4 linked regions of the Arabidopsis thaliana genome follow. The protein of the gene in region 3 interacts with the protein of the main gene of each other region in a pairwise test. Each region holds a gene or a part of one and is shown on either strand. Other genes may lie near its edges.

Evidence for each region.
Region 1: the proteins of NIMIN-3 (region 3) and AT3G25790 interact in binary tests that used the Arabidopsis thaliana proteins (3 or more experiments, as listed by UniProt).
Region 2: the proteins of NIMIN-3 (region 3) and NPR3 interact in binary tests that used the Arabidopsis thaliana proteins (3 or more experiments, as listed by UniProt).
Region 4: the proteins of NIMIN-3 (region 3) and NF-YA7 interact in binary tests that used the Arabidopsis thaliana proteins (3 or more experiments, as listed by UniProt).

What each region holds. Positions count from the first base shown.
Region 1 is NC_003074.8:9,410,498-9,416,003, reverse strand, and holds AT3G25790 (myb-like transcription factor family protein), read right to left. Parts: upstream 2,953-5,506; 5' UTR 2,809-2,952; coding exon 2,664-2,808; intron 2,560-2,663; coding exon 2,264-2,559; intron 1,943-2,263; coding exon 1,723-1,942; intron 1,610-1,722; coding exon 1,533-1,609; coding exon of another isoform or gene 1,494-1,532; exon of another isoform or gene 1,389-1,493; coding exon 1,053-1,388; 3' UTR 764-1,052; downstream 1-763. UniProt on the Arabidopsis thaliana protein: Probable factor involved in nitrate and phosphate signaling in roots. Integrates nitrate and phosphate starvation responses and adaptation of root architecture, depending on nutrient availabilities.
Region 2 is NC_003076.8:18,226,808-18,232,672, reverse strand, and holds NPR3 (NPR1-like protein 3), read right to left. Parts: upstream 3,906-5,865; 5' UTR 3,355-3,905; coding exon 2,821-3,354; intron 2,733-2,820; coding exon 1,982-2,732; intron 1,908-1,981; coding exon 1,707-1,907; coding exon of another isoform or gene 1,642-1,706; exon of another isoform or gene 1,614-1,641; coding exon 1,339-1,613; 3' UTR 1,095-1,338; downstream 1-1,094. Other genes in the region: AT5G45113 (mitochondrial transcription termination factor-related / mTERF-like protein), read left to right, coding at 1-396. UniProt on the Arabidopsis thaliana protein: Salicylic acid (SA)-binding substrate-specific adapter of an E3 ubiquitin-protein ligase complex (CUL3-RBX1-BTB) which mediates the ubiquitination and subsequent proteasomal degradation of NPR1 in response to SA.
Region 3 is NC_003070.9:3,036,696-3,040,424, forward strand, and holds NIMIN-3 (NIM1-interacting 3), read right to left. Parts: upstream 1,714-3,729; 5' UTR 1,554-1,713; coding exon 1,215-1,553; 3' UTR 1,059-1,214; downstream 1-1,058. Other genes in the region: AT1G09410 (pentatricopeptide (PPR) repeat-containing protein), read left to right, coding at 1-865; G6PD4 (glucose-6-phosphate dehydrogenase 4), read right to left, coding at 1,945-2,182, 2,276-2,476, 2,552-2,748, 2,819-2,975, 3,095-3,129, 3,229-3,337, 3,418-3,623.
Region 4 is NC_003070.9:10,803,124-10,808,035, reverse strand, and holds NF-YA7 (nuclear factor Y, subunit A7), read left to right. Parts: upstream 1-1,607; 5' UTR 1,608-1,796; intron 1,797-2,108; 5' UTR 2,109-2,139; coding exon 2,140-2,167; intron 2,168-2,336; coding exon 2,337-2,467; intron 2,468-2,728; coding exon 2,729-2,803; intron 2,804-2,882; coding exon 2,883-3,047; intron 3,048-3,126; coding exon 3,127-3,300; 3' UTR 3,301-3,586; downstream 3,587-4,912. Other genes in the region: RFNR2 (root FNR 2), read left to right, coding at 75-294, 387-886. UniProt on the Arabidopsis thaliana protein: Stimulates the transcription of various genes by recognizing and binding to a CCAAT motif in promoters.

The sequences.
Region 1 (5,506 bases), on a different chromosome or scaffold from region 3:
TTTTTTTATGTTTGAGGTGATGAAACCATAGGAACCAAGAAATTTTGATTAAAGGATAACTTATCAATCGAAATCATTTTGATTATTGATTCAGAAAACCTCGCAAACGAACAACACTTAATAAACAACAGTGAGAGCGAACAAGAAAACCCAACAATTGTTGTTGTTATAGAGAATGAGTACAAGTCAAGAGATATTAATTGTATAGTAGTGTCGAGAGTTAGAATGGTCAGCAATTTTCATGTGGCTTTACACCTTGTTTCTTGCCCTTAAGTTACAAAAAAACTTGTCTTTTAACATATTTTGGGTTTAATATTTACACAGTTATATACTTATATGGAAAAATTGTATTTACAAAAGTAAAAGGAACAAATAAAGAATAATTCACTCCACGAGAAGGAGCCCAACGTGCACATTTGTGTTAATATCCAGTACAAGCAACAAGAGAATAAAGTTTAACCTGAAAAACATATTTGCAGATTATGCTCTTCAGATTCCGGCATATTCTACCGAGTTCCGATCCTTCTGTATGGCATAATTTTTTTTATTTTCATTCAAAAAAGTTTATATATGTATTTTTCTTCTGTTTTCGAAGACATTTTACATTTCTACAATGTTTCTGTGTATCTTATATTACTATAGCAAATAGAAACCTGGCCGACATACATATGTTAAGGACGAAATTAATTAATTTGAGTTTGTGACTGACATTTATTAATTTTGGTGGCTAAAGCCTCTATAAAAATATATGCTGATAATATACCATCATTCTACATATAATTACGATTCTTTCTATATACGATTCTTCAACTAGTAATCTAATAATTTTGTGTTATTAACTTATTATCATCGATATGCATATTGCACGACGTAAAAAAATATAGTATGCATTAGCTAATATGGATCTTTGATCAAAGATATCATCGGCTAATAGAAAAAAACCAAGAAACTAAAAATAACATAGAGTCACGCTCCAACATCTATATATATACACTCTTCACAATATTAATGTCTATAACTTTTTTCTCTTAATAAATAATCAAAAATTAAATTTATGATATTATTTTTGCATCTTTCGTCTTTGTACGAGTAGAACAAGACATAGCTGGTGAGCTACACCGAAAAAATCCGTTGTTAGAGCATCTTGATCTATCTTCCGAAATCTTCCTACCAAAATTGGAATGCCTCGGCCACTCGGACGGCAACGAACTGACCATAGGCCCATAAATCCCGGTGGTCTCACCCGATGCGACGGCGTTGACTGCGTTGGCCGTTGAATGGTTAGTCTGTGGGACCCATATTCCACCAACCACCACGAAATGTTGCGTTTGAGAGTTTCTGTTGTTCGGTGTTGTTTGGCTTGGCCGTCTTGCATGCAGCCTATATTTCTATTTATCATTAAAAAAAATATGAAACAATAAATATTATTTTCCTTCTAAATTATAAAAACATTTGTAACTAAAATGATGAAATTAATATATACCTTTTACATATTAGTTACATGTATTTTTCATGGAATATGATTTACTAACCTGTAAATGACTTTTGACTTCATCATTTGTTAACCCATCAACCTTCATTATATCTCTTATCTGTTTCGGCGTAGCTACTTCAAAATTTAGTGAACAAAAAGGTCATTACGAATTAATTAAACTTCATGAGCCCTAACAAAAAGATATGACTACTGATATATATGTTTTAACTTAAAACCAAGAAACGCACCATGAGGGCCACCAAGTTGTTTAAGAGCGTTCAAGAAGCGTCTGTGTAACTCTTGCGACCAACACCGCCTATTCTTTCTCTGCCCTCTTCTGCCACCGCCACCGCCACTGCCACCATCGCTAGTAGTCACCGGTGATTTTATGTTGTTGTTTTTCTTCGCTGCTTCATCGTTTATTTTTATCAACTCTACCAGCGTCTCTGTCTTTTCTTGTGAGCGATCCTGAATACGCAAAATGCTATTAGAAACTTAAATTACAAAACAAAATCTTTTTGTGAGCAATTTACTATCTTTTTGTGCACCCATCCTTTTTCGGTCTATTAAAAAAAACAAAAACTGGAAGAAAAAAGAATAATCTATTTGTGAAGTTGTAAGTTACAAACACAATCGCATAAAGTACACAGAAGGTTATGCGTTTAGTCTTTACGTTAACAATTAACAACGTCAATAGGCTGGTTTGGAAACAATACAGTAAATGTAATTCAAGGCAAACAAAAACACAAATGTAAACAAAGAAAAAATAAAATAAAATAAAAATCTTACCTGTCTATTATTAGAAACAACTGCGTCGGATTGGTTCCAGAGCTGAACAGACTTGAGCCATTCAGATTTCATGTTCTTGTCATCAAAATCTATGTCGGTTTCATGAGACTGGTGTTCTTCATCATCATCATCTTTGTCATCAACCTCTTCTTCTATGGAGGTCGAAGAGTGTTTGATTGGTATGAACAGATCCAAGATGCGCCCACATTCTCCGGTGGTCTGCTCTGAGCACTCCGACTGTCCGTATAAGTTATCCGTCGACGTCCCTGATATCTCCCTCTTATACGCCTCAATCGCTAAATTCCATAAAACATTTTTTAAAAATCTTTAGATCTAACATTTAATCCATATATATAAACTCATTATATCTTATATGAAATGTAAATGCATATGTATGTACCTTGAGTCACGAGCTCTACGCAAAGAGGAAGCTCGCGTTGGAAAACATTGATCTTGCGACGTTCTTCTTCGAGAGCTTCGATGTACTCGCAACATTTTTCACGTTTCTGATTGTCATTCTTCATATTACTTAAGTTCTTGATCATGCTGGTTTAAGGGACAAAACAAAAAACCAGCTTTGTTTTCGAATAATTGATAACTTTAACTATAAAGTTAGTCAAGAAGAGATGAGTTATGTCTCTTTATAAAGACAACGTATATATGGCTCTATAGGGTTTCTCAAGGATCATTATTTGAAAGAGAGAAGTCGGGCCGTCGCATTACAAGGCGAATCTTGCTTTTGTTTATAAAATAAGTATATACCTTCCCAAGTTAAATATTTTTTTTTCCCTTGTTGTATAGTAGTATTGATCCAGTGGTGAATATTCCTGGATGTGATTCCAAGTTTTTTTCGTGTGAACTTTATATTTATTTGGGTATATCCAACCAAGGTTTAAAGAAGTCCTATAACAACATTCATAAGTTAGAAAATGTCTGCGATTCCACTACAACAGAAATCGAATTTTGGAAGACTATAAACTATTCATTCTATTATTTTTACAAGTTTGATTATTATGTCATTTATAGAATTCAATACGTGGGAAAGAATATATGCAAATCCTTAAAAACAGCCGCCAAAATAACACTAAACGTGCATGAGCTCTTTTGTTCTGTAAGTATTAATTTCACCCACACAAAATCATATATAAAACGTTGAAAATGTATTTTTCAATATCCCAATATGAAAAGCCAAATGTCTCTTCGTAGACAGCCGAAACATGGGAGAAGAAAAGCCATATATAAAAAAAAAACTGTAATATACTTGTTGAAATTTCATAGGACCTTGAGAATTTGTTGAATTCGTTATAACCTTATCCATAAATACACATGTAAACTAATATATATATCCACACAATATGAGTTCCTATATATCTCGTGTTTTTGACCGGTAATTTTAATTATGTCAAGTAGACGATTACTAAGTACACCTACTAATATATATGCGAATGCATCTTCCCAGTATAATGGCCTGCCAATGCATTTCCCGGTCAAAGATATAACCTAATGCTACACATATCAATTTATATGCTATGCTGTTGTTATATCCATATAATTTGGAATTAGATATGAAATCAAACGTGATTAAGGGCTCTAATAGCTGTCAACTTTAATGATAAGAAAATATGTTGCCTCTATAGAAATTGGTGTGTAATGAGCTAATATGTTCGGGTGATGTCCAAAATATCAAGAAATTACCCGCAAATTGTTAGAGACCAACATCAAATTTATTACTCAAAATTTTAAATATCGATTTATATGTTATGATGTTATGATACAAATAGATCCACCTATTCGTAGTCTCGAGAAATCAAAATTGTGTTTAACAGGCTTATCTGTTTTGATTAGATTGAAACGTATTTTAAATAAAGAAATTAGTTGGCAAATAGAGTTTAGAGATGTATTTTAGTGTTGGATTATAATTGTCCCCTCGGAGTCTCAAAAGGCCATATTCAGTGTTCACCACTGGCCGCGGCCGAACAAAAAGACGGCCTCATGTATTGAACCCAACATGCCAACTTTATATACGGCCTTGTGTATTGTTTCCTACTTGGGCTCAATTTATCATCAATTTTTTCCACCCCTTTCTCGTATCTCCAATATTCGTATGCAATAGTACCACTAAACTCCCCAATATTCGTATGCAATTGTGAACCAAAAAAAAAGGTACCACTAAACTCCCCAACTTTGTGGGCTTCCCATATTGATATCAAACGAAAATATCTATATATAAACTTAAATCTAAAGTATAGAAGAAGAAAAAAAATCGCAAAATTGGTGGTAACCTATAAATTTTCAATTGTTTAAGATCAAACCAATGAACTCATCCTCCTAAAAAAAGATAGAAAACATAAACAAATACTGTATTTATCCTCAAATACTTCGTGATTTGTTTGTCAAAAAACTGGCATAAACGTTTAAAAGTTAGGTGATAATACCCAAGTGTCTCGGATCTATCAGACCCTATTTTTCAATTTGTATACTACTTGATATATGTTCTATGAAACTAAAATCTTTTTCAATAAAACGGATCACAAATCCGAATTTTGCATTCTCTCGTAGCTAAAATTCTCTCTTTTTTGGTATTACAAAAAAAACACCATCTTGGTTTTTATATTTGGTAAATAATTCAAAAAGTGCAAATAAGATATTTATTTTTTTTAACATTCGCAAAACTAAACTTAACTTTGTTCTTTTCTCATTTATGATCAAAACTTATGGTCAAAATCTGAACTTAAATGTCAGAAAGCTTACAGAAACATGACAATAATGTTCCTGACATATGATGAACCTACAAATAAAATTTCCCTCCAACACATGTTTTGACTGGTAGACACAATAATATCGATCTTTAGAGTATAACAATATTACACGATTCACTTGACAAGATGTTAACTTCTCAATTTAAAAAGATAGCCAGCAATAACTAGGTTGCTTTTTTTAGTTTTAAATATCTGTGCCAACAACAAATTAGCGTTAAAGCATTATGACATTAACACAATTAACACCAAAACCATAACGAACCAAAAAATATTGTGTTACTAATTACTAGCATTAACTCCACTACCCTAACTGTGTATATGAGTGTACCATTTTAAACCATAAGATTAAAGGTTCTAGCTATCAATTTATTCCGTGAAAATACCGAAACTAATGTAAAAAGTTTTACTTTGAAATCGAGTACAACAGTTCCACGTTGTAGAAAGACCAGTTGTAATCAATAAAGTCACATCAAAATAAATACTT
Region 2 (5,865 bases), on a different chromosome or scaffold from region 3:
TTCCAAGGGAGGGGAGATGAGCTACAGGAGAGATTTGATTGCTTTGTGAAGGCTGGTTTGGACTATAATGTGGTTAGCCAGCTTGTTAAGCGGGCGCCTCATATACTTAACCGGCCGAAAGATATCATAGAAAAGAAGATCATTATGCTAATAGATTATTTGGTTTATCCAATAGAATCCGTGATAGAGTCCCCAACATATTTGTGTTATAGTATGAAGAGAATACATCAGAGATTCACAATGTACATTTGGTTGAGGGAAAGAGATGCAGTAATACCGAGGCTGACACTAGGCACTGTTGTCGGTATTTCTAATACCCTTATTGTGCCATACTTTGTCAATACCCACCCGGAAGGTCCAGCTACTTGGGAAAATATAAAGAAAGCATCTACCTGATTAACTGGTCCGTTCAATGATATAACGTTATCTTCAATCTAGTGCAGATGTCTGTTGATCTATAACATTTTCTCATTGCTTAGCTCACAACCAGTGAAACCTGGAAATTCTCAGTGCGATGGAGAGGATCACAGAATATGTCGATGCATAGTGAAGTATTTCCGCCTGTGGATTTGATTGTACCTCTCTACTCATCAGTATAGATATAGATGCCAACAAACGAACAAGGAAGGACTTCGAGAAAGCTGAAAGAACAAAGGCTCTCCGTAATGTTGAAACGCCACTGAACTCAGTGAAGTGAATTTTAGACTGGACTGAACAGAGTGACAAATTGGAAAGGCACAGTCCTTCGTTGGTACAATATTCTTCTATTGCTTTACGATGTTGGAAAGGCACACTTAACATATAATGCAACTTGAAATGCTTTCTTTGTTGAAGAAGACAGATAGACAGTATTGGTCAGACAAGCCCCTGCCCCGACCCTATGCCAAAGAGAGCAGCTAACATCTACTTACTGGGACATACATGTGACAGTTCTGTTCAGAATGCATTATTACAGGTTGTTTGGAAGAATGGTTTTTGTTCTTTACTCTTAGCCACCAGTAGTCTTATCTTCTGTAATTATGTAAAGAGATAGCTATGATTGACAAATGATCATGTTTTTTCCTGACTTTTTGTGGAGTGTCTTTGTTTGTTTAAGTTTCAGGTATCTGAGAATATCTTGTAGATAACCTAAATATTAGATTTTTGTATTGAAAACAAAAGATTGCGTATAGTTAGAACGTTTTGGGTTAATCAGCACTCCTAATCTTGTACATCTATCTATCCATCTCTCTTTATTGAAACTGAACCTAAAGCATCTGTATAAAATCTGAGTAACATCCATAAAGAAAAAACCCTTTTAACAAAGATATCTAATTACATTTGACTTATGGTGCAGTTTCATGTTGTGTTGTGCAGGTCATCTCTTATGGAAGAAGAAGAAGGAGAAGATGAAGCAGAAAGACAAGACCGCGCAATCTTAGACTCTTTGTCTTTGCTATATGCCTTTTGGACATCATCCTTAAGCTCTCTATATCTCATTCTTTTCAATCTTCTTTCATGTGTAGATCCCTTCTCAAAATGGAAATCGTCGAGGATGTCGTCGTCTATATACTCAGCCATGTACTTATCTAGAACCTCTGAACCATATGGAAAAAACCTTCGACCAGTCTCAACTGCATTGTGAAACGGTAATGAAGTCAGTCAAGAGAAAATGAGCAACATAAGAAGATGAAGGGTAGACTTACAGAGAGCAAGCTTTTTGTTACCTGTTTTCATTAGAGCCACCATACGAGTAAGAAGTCTTTGGGTTTGCATATGAGGAGTTTCGTTTAAATCAACCTGACTCAAGTTTCCGGTTAACCCACTCGAAGGAGGTGACAAACCCGTGAACTCACTTGTACCTTCTACGTTACCAATGTCCATAGCAACTTTAGCTTCCGTTGGAAAGAACAACTGAGCAAGCCCCACTGCAAAAAAGGTAGAAGCTTTAACAAAAATGTAGTAAAGATACAGAAGAATTCAGTAATTTTCAGTCAATTACCTCTCTTTTCTAGGTACAACAGTCTCATCTGGAGATCTTCAGGCATAGAAATGGAACACATTGGTGTATCTAGAACCATGGGGTTCTTCCTGATTTCTCTTTCCAAGATATCGATGCATAACCTGGCTTTACTAGATTCACGCCCTTTAGCTGTTTTGGTATGATAATCCTTTGGATTTGTCAGTCTTCTTAATATATTAACTGCGCTACGTCCGTCAGATGTAAACTCAGATGCATTGGCGCCTTTATCGATAAGCGATATAATGATCGATGGCTCTCTACGCATCGCAGCAAAATGAAGAACCGTGTAACCCCGGGAATTCCTGTAGTTCACATCACCCATATCCAGAGCAAGAATCTCGGCAACAACTTTCGGATCACTATACACAACAGAATAATGCAGACCATTGGCTTGATCTAGAGTGATATCTGACTCAGTCAAAAGAAGCTTCACAAGCTCAACATCATCTGAATCCAAGGCCTTGAGAATTTTACCGATTCTTTCAAGCAATTTCTCCGAAATCTTGGGACTGGTTTCTTCGTCTTGCGGGGATATAAGTCGAAGCTGTTTAATCTTCTCTGCTACTTCGGGAGGAACTTCCTTTTCAATACAGAACCTGTAAAGATCTGACCTCGCCACTCTCTCAATACACTGATCAAGAAGCTGAGTCAACTTACAATTGAAAGCAACCATAAGAATGGGAAGAACATTCTCAACAAGGGTCTTCTCCACAAAGTTACAAAGCCGCCGCTGCAAGCACACAAACCTTTTAGTTCTCATTGAGGTCTATGAATTAAGAAACAAAGAGACCGAAGAAAAAAGAAGACTTTTCACACACCTGAAAAGATGAAACTAGCTCAGGCACTTGGAGAACAGAGGAAGCATACATCAATTGAACAACAAAATCAATGGCAGGTCGACAACAATCATGAGAACAAACTGGATCAACACAAGTCGAAACCTCCAATGGAAAAGGCTTTAATCTCCCAGTATATATATAACTCAAGAAATACAAGAAAGCTTCATGAGCAACAGCTCCATAAGGTAACATCTCTCTCAACTGATACTTTGGTTTCTCAGTTTTCGAAATTTTCTTTTCTTTCTTAAACAAATCTTGGAAAAACTTACTTCTTGCAGCTAAAATGCATCTATGAACACCAACTGGAACACCATCAACAATGATCTCTGCATCACTGTAATCACAATCTGAATTACTAAGAAGCTGCTCAAGATTGGAGCTGAGTTTGGTTAGACTAACAACTTCAGGATTAGAAGCTGAGCTTGATGAGAAGTGATTGGACCCAATAGAACCATAAGAGAAATGAGAAGATGTGAAACTCAAAGATGATGATGGCTCAGTCAAAGTAGCCATTTTCTCTTCTTCTTCTTCTTGTAGAATTATCAATCTTGCATGAAGATCAAGAAGATTACACAAGTCTGAAGATCGGTTTCAGATACAAAAGCCCTAAATTTACATTTCTAACAAGGAATCAACCAAACCCAGAACCAAAAGAGGAAAATTTGTACACTTGGGGATTTGAGTTATGAAACTATTACTCTTACACCTCTGATTCAATGTACCACAAAAAAAAGTCAAAAGGAAAGGAAGAAACTTTGGACAAGGAATCAAACAAAATTGGGAGAGAAAATAAACCCTAAGAGAATCTGACACAACCAAGGATATAGAGATTGAGATCTGCACAATCGTAAGAGATAAGATCAAAGAGAAGGCAAAAGAACCAAATTGAGATGTATCAAAGAGATAAAAAGGAAGAGAATTTAGAGGAAAAGTCAAGAAAGAAAGAGAGGTATATAAAGGATAAATGATGATGAAATTGAGAACAAACAGGACACAACAGGTGCAAGTGATGGTGAAAGAAAGAGACAGCTTCAATGTGAAGGAAGATACAGAGGAAACAAGAGAGTTAATATAATAGTTTTTTTTGTAAATTTAATAATATGAATTAATAAGCATTAGAATTAAAAACATGGTCTAATAAAGTGTATAAAGAAAGACTCAAATGAAAGTTGACAAATAGAAAACAAAGACTAGAAAAATCCGTGTATGATGCCAAAGGTTCTCCGTGTATGACGCCACTCACTAACATTTTCCACATCTTTCTCTAATTTAACAAATCTATGGATAAACACATATTTTTTTTCTCATCAAAATCACTATTTTTATTTGACTGCGATATATCACATCATTAATATATTTTTATTTACATCATATTATTCAATAGTTTTAATTTGTTTCTTAGGTGTAAATAACTTGTAATGATATGCCAATTAATGCCGTCACGAAATAGCATTAAGTCAAGAAGATTAATATTAAGAAATAGCCGTCACTATTGATGACGGAAGGAAGTGACGAAAGCAAATACGAACGGCATATGAATGACGTGGCTTGTGTGTGGATTGCTGCAATGTGATGACGTATTAAACAATTACACTTTCGGAATAGTAGATAAATCATAAAGTAATAGTAGAGATTATAATAGGCAATAGCTATGCCTATAGTGGTCCAAATTTTTATTAAATTTATAATTTTGTGATGACCAAAGTCATTCTTTGTGGCCTAGTTCCAAATTTTAAGACATAAATAACGTTTTGAAATGAATTGAATATAGATATGAGGGACGACAATTTTGTCTTGATTTTTTTTTTTAAAACAAGAAGATTCTTGGCTTCGTAACAAAGTGGTGAAGTCTCTTATGCTAGCATTCTAGTCGCGTCGGAAATTCGACTCTACCTACAAGGCTACAAATACAATCGGTGAAATGCGTTAGCTGACTATTAAAAAAAAAAAAACTCTTTAAGGATAGTCGTTGAATAGTTTATTCATCAAATTTTTATATGAAATAAAATTTAATTAGCATTATTTCGATTGGCAATGATTCCTATGATTAAATTTTCGACTTTCGGTAATGCTATCGAATATAGAATTCTAACTATAAATATATATTTTTAACAAAAAATAACATATAAGTGTAAACTTGGATAGTGACAATGCAACGTCACTAATACAAATCATATTAGTATATTACTTTGACTTAAACTATCAAATATACGCTAAGTTTTGGTCACTAGTGACGCTGCGTTACTTTGGTAAACCATATGTTAATTTGTATCTTTCGTTCACTAAGTATCACTAAATCATATATTAAACCATCAACGTCACTAATACAAATCATATTACTATGGCTTAAATCATCAAATATGCGATAAGTTTTGGTCACTAAATAATTATTTTATGTATTACTTTGGCTAAAACCATCAAATATTAACAAGACAAAAAAAAGTTTCCTACCAATTCGTTATTTAGATCAGAAGTTTTAACCCATTCAAATTTACAAATTTCTTACATAAACTAAGTATAACGATGTAACCCATAAAGCCTTGAACTCACACAAGATTGAGGACATATATATTGGTAGTTATTCAAAATTGTTATATCACTTTATGACTCAAAAACGTAATTTGTTTTGTTGATGTCAATGGATTGATTTCTTTTGTTTTCATGTTTTTTTCTTTTTTTGCCATAAGACCAAAAACTTCAGGCTTTACTTCATGAAAATCCTAACACTTTTCATTTTAGTGGAATATTTAAATTCTTAACAAAAAGACAAAAACAAAACTCATACAAGAGATAAATCATTCTAAAGAGGAGTGTAAACTAGTAAAGCGTGACCTAACACAAGAGATAAAAATCATTCTAAGAGGAATTGGAAACGAAACTTAACTTGATGAAACAATTAAAAAGAAAAATAACAAAACAAAAAGAAAACTCTTAAATTTTCCATAAAAATATATAGTCAATGCCGGCTTAACTATAGGGGCCGATAATATAAACTTATAGGGTACATAACTACATATACATAAA
Region 3 (3,729 bases):
GGTTTTCTGTGAGATGCCTTTGTCTGGTAGTACTAAGCCTAACGAAGTCACCTTCGTTGCAACTCTCTCAGCATGTAGTTACGCTGGGATGGTTGAGGAAGGGCTTAAGATCTATGAATCTATGGAATCAGTTTTTGGGGTTAAGCCAATCACCGCGCATTATGCTTGCATGGTAGATATGCTTGGGCGTGCAGGACGGTTTAATGAGGCAATGGAAATGATTGATAGTATGACTGTCGAACCAGATGCTGCAGTTTGGGGTTCTCTATTAGGAGCGTGCAGAACTCACTCGCAGCTGGATGTGGCAGAATTTTGTGCGAAGAAACTCATAGAGATTGAACCGGAGAATTCTGGGACTTACATCTTGCTCTCCAACATGTATGCATCTCAAGGTAGGTGGGCTGACGTTGCAGAACTGAGAAAACTTATGAAGACTAGGTTGGTAAGAAAATCACCAGGTTGTAGCTGGACTGAAGTCGAGAACAAGGTGCATGCATTCACTCGTGGGGGTATTAATAGCCATCCCGAGCAGGAATCTATTTTGAAGATACTGGATGAATTGGATGGGTTATTGAGAGAAGCCGGGTATAATCCTGATTGCAGCTATGCATTGCACGATGTAGACGAGGAAGAGAAAGTCAATAGCCTGAAATATCATAGCGAGAGACTAGCGGTAGCTTATGCTCTTTTAAAGCTATCTGAAGGAATACCCATCCGAGTCATGAAGAACCTTAGAGTTTGTAGTGATTGCCACACAGCAATAAAAATAATCTCTAAGGTGAAAGAGAGGGAGATCATTCTAAGAGATGCAAACAGATTCCATCACTTCAGAAACGGAGAGTGTTCCTGTAAAGATTACTGGTGAGATTCAATAAATGCCAAGCAGAATGTTTTTTTTTAATCTTAGGCTTAGCTATCAATCCTCGTTGGAGCGTTGGCAAAATGGAGTAATTCTCGCAAACCATAGGAACTTGCTCAGCCATTGATGAGAGTTCTCTCTAAGTTCTTCTGCTAATATATATATATTTTTTTACTGATCTTGTTATCAATGTGCATTTGTAGCATTTTCTTCAATATGGTTAATAAGAAGTGATGAACAATCTTCAAGCAAAACTAGAATTCCATGACACATTTGTTTTTGGTACGTAGTTACTAACATTCTTTGTTGCTTATACAGAAACTGAAGAGCTCTTTGTCTCTTGTATGTATGTATGCTACAGAGAAAGATTCAAGTCTAAACAAACGTTAGTCTCAGATCCTTCTTGCTTTTCCTTAGAGCCATCATACTCGTTGGATGCTGAAGAGCTCTCATTAGCTGCTTTTTCAATGTTGTTGGCCTCTGCTTTATTCATGAAAATGAAATCTTCTGGCTGAAACGAAGGGAATCTACGAACCCTTGCTCTTTCTTCTTCTTCCTGTCTCTTCTTCTCCATGGAGCTGTTGACATATTTCCGCATTTCCCTTGCGTTTTTAAGCACTGTGTACAACTTCTCCATCTTTTCTTCTTCGTCATCTTCCTTCTCCATTTTCACCCTCTTTCTGTCTCTGTCCATTGAACCGCTCTCTCTTCCTTCCCCTATGAAAATGTTTCTCTTTAGTTACATCATTTTCATCCTACTTTGATCATCAACACATGATACATCTGGAAGAATTTTCTGGAGGAATTGGTGGAGAAGATATAATTATTGCCTCTAGTGGGAAGACTAACAACATGACCTTATCTAAAAGTCTCTCAGACTTTCTTCTTTCCTTTGGGTGGCTTTGGAGACTTTTCAACACTATTATGGACCCCACCATGATGGACATTCATATAGCAACATGACATACATGTGTACATATGTACAGTCTACAGGGAATGGCACAGCTTCAAGCTAAACAAACACACTTCACAATAACCATTCAGAATCACTCTCATTTGTTTGTTGCTGCATCTATGTTTCTTCTTCAGTCATCTGCCCATGGGACACCGTGCTTGGCCCAAAGATAGTATGCCGCAACTGGTCCTCGTCCACCAAATTCATACAACTCCGGAGCTGTGTGATGCTTGTCTATCTCTTCTAGAACCGGACTAAGAATGTTCCATGCTGCTGCAACCTCATCGCTTCTCATGAACAGATGATTGTCTCCGTCAATTACATCATGAATTAGGTGTTCATATGAGTCTGGTACTTCGGTTTTATACCTACAGGTTTGATCCAACAATTCAACCAACCATAAGGCGCAAAAGTTCGATTTTTAAAATGTGTAGGAACAAAGATGAGAATGCAAAACTTGCCTGTCTTTATAGAGCAAGTTAAGTTCAGAAGCGTCTAGCTGAAGACCTAAACCAGGAACCTTGTTGTTGATTTTCACCAGGATGGCCTCATCAGGTTCGTCACGTAGAATAAGCTCATTTGTCCCCAAATCTATGTTTATTCCAATATTTTCTCGGTATAGGTTTCCAGGAACATGCCGGAATTGCACATGAATCTCCACTCTTTCAACATTAAGGCACACCAATCAATTGTTATGACAGTTGGATATGTCTATGAGTAGGAATAATTATTCTTACCTGTGTTTAATGAGGCCAGTGCCAACTCTTACAAGGAAAGGTACACCATCCCAACGTGCATTATCAATATACAAGGCTGCTGCACAATATGTAGGGTCTACACCGTTCAAGATCACACCGTTCTTGTCTCGGGAACTGGATTTATACTGGCCAAGGATGACATCACGCGGGTCTATCTTGCGAATTGATCTTAAAACCTTCACCTGCAGAAGCAGGTTTGTCACCAAGTCACTTGACAGAACAAGAGTACACAACTTACATATATACCATAAGACGATTTTGTTCTTTACAGTACAGGTTGACCTTTTCATTTCGGATATCTTCACCATCGAGACTTATCGGAGGTTCCATGGCAAGTAATGCGATTGTCTGAAGTATATGGCTGTGCACTATGTCCCGTATTATTCCATATCCATCAGAAAACCTTAAAAAAAGCAGTAGGAAATTAGAAAATAACATTACTGATTTGTCTAAGAATGCTGAAACAACACAATTTACTCTCACATGCAAAGAAATGGTGAAAATAGAACTATTGTGCCTTACTTTTCTGTTTGCGCAATTGATTCTGATATAATAACCTGGAAACATCATTTATACACAAAGTGAACAAACCAGAATGTGGAAGAGGAAAGTTCAGGCACTATACACAACTACAAACAATCAGAAGGAAACACTACCTGTATATTGCGTATGTATGTTCTGTTCCATAGTGGTTCAAAAACTAGATTTGAAAACCTTAACACTGTCAGATTTTCAATGAGGTTTCTTCCTAACATGTGATCTATCCTGTAACGGGCACAGAAGTGTGAAGAAATATGAACTTGAGAGCTGTGCATGCAGAAAGCAACTAGATTTAAAAGAAGGACCTGTAGATTTGCTTCTCTTCAAACTTAGAGAGAAGTGACTTTGTTAACTGATGAGACGAATGTGAGTTAAAACCAAAAGGTTTCTCAACTATTATTCGAGTCCAGCCTCGTGGTGCCTGAGCGTTATCTCCAATGGTGCATGCCACATCCACCAGAGCTTCTTGAGGTACTGAGAGGTAAAAGATTCTATTTGCTTCTGATTCTCCCTGAAGAAGAAAAGCTGTTAATGTCTTATTCTATCTTGCTTGTCTGTTCAAAATGTTGTAAACTCAGAAAGAGGACTACTTCTGGGACAAAATGTAATCATTGAAA
Region 4 (4,912 bases), 7.8 Mb from region 3:
TACGTTGTCTTCAAATTGTTACCACCATTCTTAATCTCTTAAATCTATTAATGAACTGGAACTTTTGCGTGTAGGGTGAGAACCCGAAGAAACCGGGAGCGCCACACAATGTGCGCCTTTACTCAATTGCATCAACAAGGTACGGAGATTTCTTTGACGGTAAAACAGCGAGTTTGTGTGTACGTAGAGCTGTTTATTACGACCCTGAGACTGGAAAAGAAGATCCTTCAAAGAACGGAGTCTGCAGCAACTTCCTATGTGATTCAAAGCCCGGTGACAAGATTCAAATCACCGGTATGTAAACTAATTACCCAACCAACTGATCTCATACTTAAAGACCCCTTGGACTAAGTTTTCTTTTAACTCAATATACATTTCAAAACCAGGTCCATCTGGGAAGGTAATGCTATTACCCGAGAGTGATCCAAACGCGACACACATAATGATAGCCACGGGAACAGGAGTGGCTCCATACAGAGGCTACTTACGTCGAATGTTCATGGAAAACGTCCCAAACAAGACATTTAGCGGCTTAGCTTGGCTCTTCTTAGGCGTGGCCAACACCGATAGCCTTCTCTATGACGAAGAGTTTACCAAGTACCTAAAAGACCATCCAGACAACTTTAGGTTCGACAAGGCATTGAGCAGAGAGGAGAAGAACAAGAAAGGTGGAAAGATGTACGTGCAGGACAAGATTGAAGAATATAGTGATGAGATCTTCAAGCTTTTGGACAATGGAGCTCATATTTACTTCTGTGGGCTTAAAGGAATGATGCCTGGGATTCAAGATACACTTAAGAGAGTTGCAGAAGAGAGAGGTGAGAGCTGGGACTTGAAGCTTTCTCAGCTCAGGAAGAACAAGCAGTGGCACGTTGAAGTCTATTGAGCTCTTTATTTGTATTTGCTGTTTTTGATTTTTGATTTAAGAATCGTAATAAATTTGAATTTGGTGTTTTTCTACTTTTCAAACATGATATGATGATAATATCTGAAATTTGTTGGTTTTGAGAAGAGAATATTCTCAGAGAATAATCAATATATCATTTATGTAGTGACATGAGCCATCAAGAAAACGACGAAAAGGTATATACTATTAAAGTTGAGAATAATCTTATCTTACATGTGCTGCCATAAACCCAACCAAAGGTTATAGAATATTGCATAAAATATTCGAATCGCCTAACGTCATTTTAATGAAAATTTTAGAGAGTTTATAAATCAATAAATCATAATAATCATCGGTTTACCAAAACATAAGTATTTTGAATTTTCGGCTTTTGTTCGGTTATGTAGCTGAACAATTCGAATTAGTGTCATAGATTCATACCGAACCGAGATTACTCTCTTGTCTGATGTCTCTAGAATTCAAACAAATACGAACCGGTTTCGCTATCGATGACTCACACAACAGAAAATACCAATAAGAATCGGGCAACGGGTAGAGGTTAGGTCCCCGTGGACTTAATCAGTAGTGTAAGCGAGCTGCTTCGGTCAGCAAATTTTAGATCTGCCCGTAATCTGCTACGTGCAATCTAAAACGCTTCTCTAATTCTCCACTTGTACGATCGATATTGCGTCCGCATCAATTGTTACAAACTCTGCCGTTTCTTTACTTGCTGAAGACTGAAAACGTCATGACGTTTTATGCTAGTTGAGAAGGACGCTCTGAAGTTTGGGGATATTAAAAGTGCGGAATAACTTGAGGAAGGGAAGAAAACGACACTCTCTCGCTCTCTCTCTGTTCTTCATTTTCAAGAAGAGGCTCTCTAATCGTCGTCAGAGAAAATTGCAGAGAGGTAAATTTTATATATTGGTTTTGAAATTCTTAGCCTTTGATTTGTTTTTTGTTAGAATTTTGCTTTGCTGTTTTAGGATTTAGTAGGACTGTGAGAATTATAGGTTTAATTATGGTTTATCATCTTTTGTTGTTATTTATGAAAGTTGTGGATGTTCTGATTTGGTTCTGTGATTATTCTAAGTAGCTTGACTTGTTTAGTTTAAATATGAGGTTAATGATTTTGTGGGGATTTGATAGTTCTGGTTCTTGAGTTTATTTAAAATAGGTTTACCAGGATCATGTACTGACTCTGTTCTTTGGAACTTTTCAGAATTCTGCTTCGGACATTAAGCTCATGAGTCATGACTTCTTCAATCCATGAGCTTTCTGGTTTTGCTCTCTCTCTTCCTTATTCATTTTATGCTTATATTTTATTTCAAGTTGATTCTGCTTTCAGAAGATAGATTTTTACCTAAGCTTGTTTTATAGTTCATTTGGTTTGCTGTTAATGATTCTTTTGGTGGTGCTCTCTTGTTAAGTTTGGTGTGTTCTTGTCCAGATAACATTGGAAGTCATGAGAAGCAAGAACAGAGAGATTCTCATTTCCAACCACCAATCCCTTCTGCAAGAAATTATGAATCAATTGTTACAAGTTTAGTCTACTCAGACCCGGGGACTACAAATTCCATGGTAAAAATGGAAATGTTTGATCACACCTCTCTTGATTATTGCTAATGAGTTTCGTCCAAATCTTTGATTGCCTTGCCTTTGAAGCTAGCTAATTTGTATTTTTTTGCTCTTCATATGTAGCACCTTCTAGTTGATAATTTCTAGGTTTAACTACTTCTTGGCACCATGACTAATACAATATCACCTTTCTGCATTTTCAGACGATATACAAGTAACAAAATTTTGTTCATGTTTTATGTATGTGTATTCTTATAATTAAAGGCACCTGGACAATATCCATATCCAGATCCTTACTACAGAAGCATATTTGCACCGCCTCCACAACCGTATACCGGGGTATGGTGTATTACTTAGTCCACCCTACGACGATTGTTCTTATCTGGATAAGTTGGATTTATGTTACAAATCATTTCAGGTACATCTACAGTTGATGGGAGTGCAGCAACAAGGCGTTCCTTTACCATCTGATGCAGTCGAGGAACCTGTTTTTGTTAACGCAAAGCAATACCACGGTATACTAAGGCGCAGACAATCAAGAGCAAGACTTGAGTCTCAGAATAAAGTCATCAAGTCACGTAAGGTAAGAAAACTTTTCTTAAATCGTTTATTGGTTATGATATCTTACTTCATTTGTGTAAATCTTGAGAGTGTATTTGTAGCCGTATTTGCATGAATCTCGGCATTTGCATGCGATAAGACGACCAAGAGGATGTGGCGGGCGGTTTCTAAATGCCAAGAAGGAGGATGAGCATCACGAAGACAGTAGTCATGAAGAAAAATCCAACCTTAGCGCTGGTAAATCCGCCATGGCTGCTTCTAGTGGTACATCTTGAGAAGGTCCTACAAGTAGCTTTGTTGTATTTTGGCTCTGTTTGGTCTCAGATCATCTATGTCTTTTAGTGTATGATATATACAAATCTTTGTATAAAGGTATAGATAGGTTCTTGGGAAGCAATTAGGTAAACGTGAAGTGGGTTTTAGACTTGTGATTATTAAATAAAACCCACCGAGGAAAAAGGGAAATAAATAATGTCCATGATGTTTAGTTAAATACAATGCTACTGATATTGTTTTGTTATAAGAAATTTTGGTAATAAAACGAAGAATGGAAGAATCCACAAACAATGACACCAAGGTTGTGGTCTATGTGCAAGAACGGGTGGATGGTCGATATGTATTTCCTCCTCATAGAAGATTAGGTACTATATCTCTCACAGTCTCACTCCAGAACAAGAATCCTTTCTGACTTTCAAGAGGAATATAGAGCCCTATCAACGTTAGTATGGTTATCGTGTCTTGGTTGATGTTGAATACATCAAATGAGATATTGAAGCCATACTTGACTTCGATATTCAAACCTTTGCACCAAGGATCATTTCATATCTACAAGGATTCTATCCACATAATTTCATCTATGATAATGTTATGCAAGTACAATACAACCTCTAAAAAATAATAGTCAATAACTTAATAACCTATATAAATTAATAAATTCTTCGTAATCAAAATTTTGTAATTTCTTGGAATTTCACCCATTTGTAAATTAATTTTATCTCTCATTTTAGACCCAAAAAAAAAAAATCTATTGTGCCACTTGTAAATCAATAATCCAATTAGCTTGTTTTCTTATTATTTGTAGGATCGAGTTGAGGTATCAGACCAAACCTTCTGACGAAACCAGAGACGTTTGAGGAGCGAAGTACATCCACATGTGTTGCTTCTGCCTCCATTTTGTATTTATCGTTGGAAATCTATTTGGAGGGCAGAATTTTTTTGGATTTAGTTTACTCGGTTTTCTACGAAATAGCTCTCCTATTTACAGACAATTGTGCAGAGAAATATTACTTGAATGTGCAACATGATCCTCATAATTAAGAGCTTCTACTTGTATGGTATTTCGATGAGAATCTCTCCATTGTTCTCTACTTCAAATATCAAATTAGCTATCTAGGTAAAAAGTGCCGTTAGATCGAAATCCTTCATAGTAGGTGATGATCAATCTTGTATTTTGCGTATATATATACTTCACATAAGAAATAAATATATTAATTTATATATTTATTTCTGTCCAAAAATCATAGAAAGTTATAAGAAAACCAAAAAAGAATAGAAAAGAAACAATGTTTGGACAAATGGATACAAACCAATTGAAAAATCGTAACCAACCAAAAATACAGGTTGTACCCCCAGCAAAGGCAGACCTGTCTTTGTTTTCTCATAATTTATAGGGAATTTAATAAAAAAAACCCTCAACTTTGGCCAGATCCATTTTTAAACCCTGAACTATATTTTTAGTAAAACAAACCCTGAACTAAAACCTGTTAATAAACTTAACCCCACAGTAATTAAATATTAATGGGATATTAATTTCCAAAAATCGACCAAAGAACAATGACAGAATCCGTGATCCAACTGAAGATCGTCCACCTCAAAAAGTTCTTTATA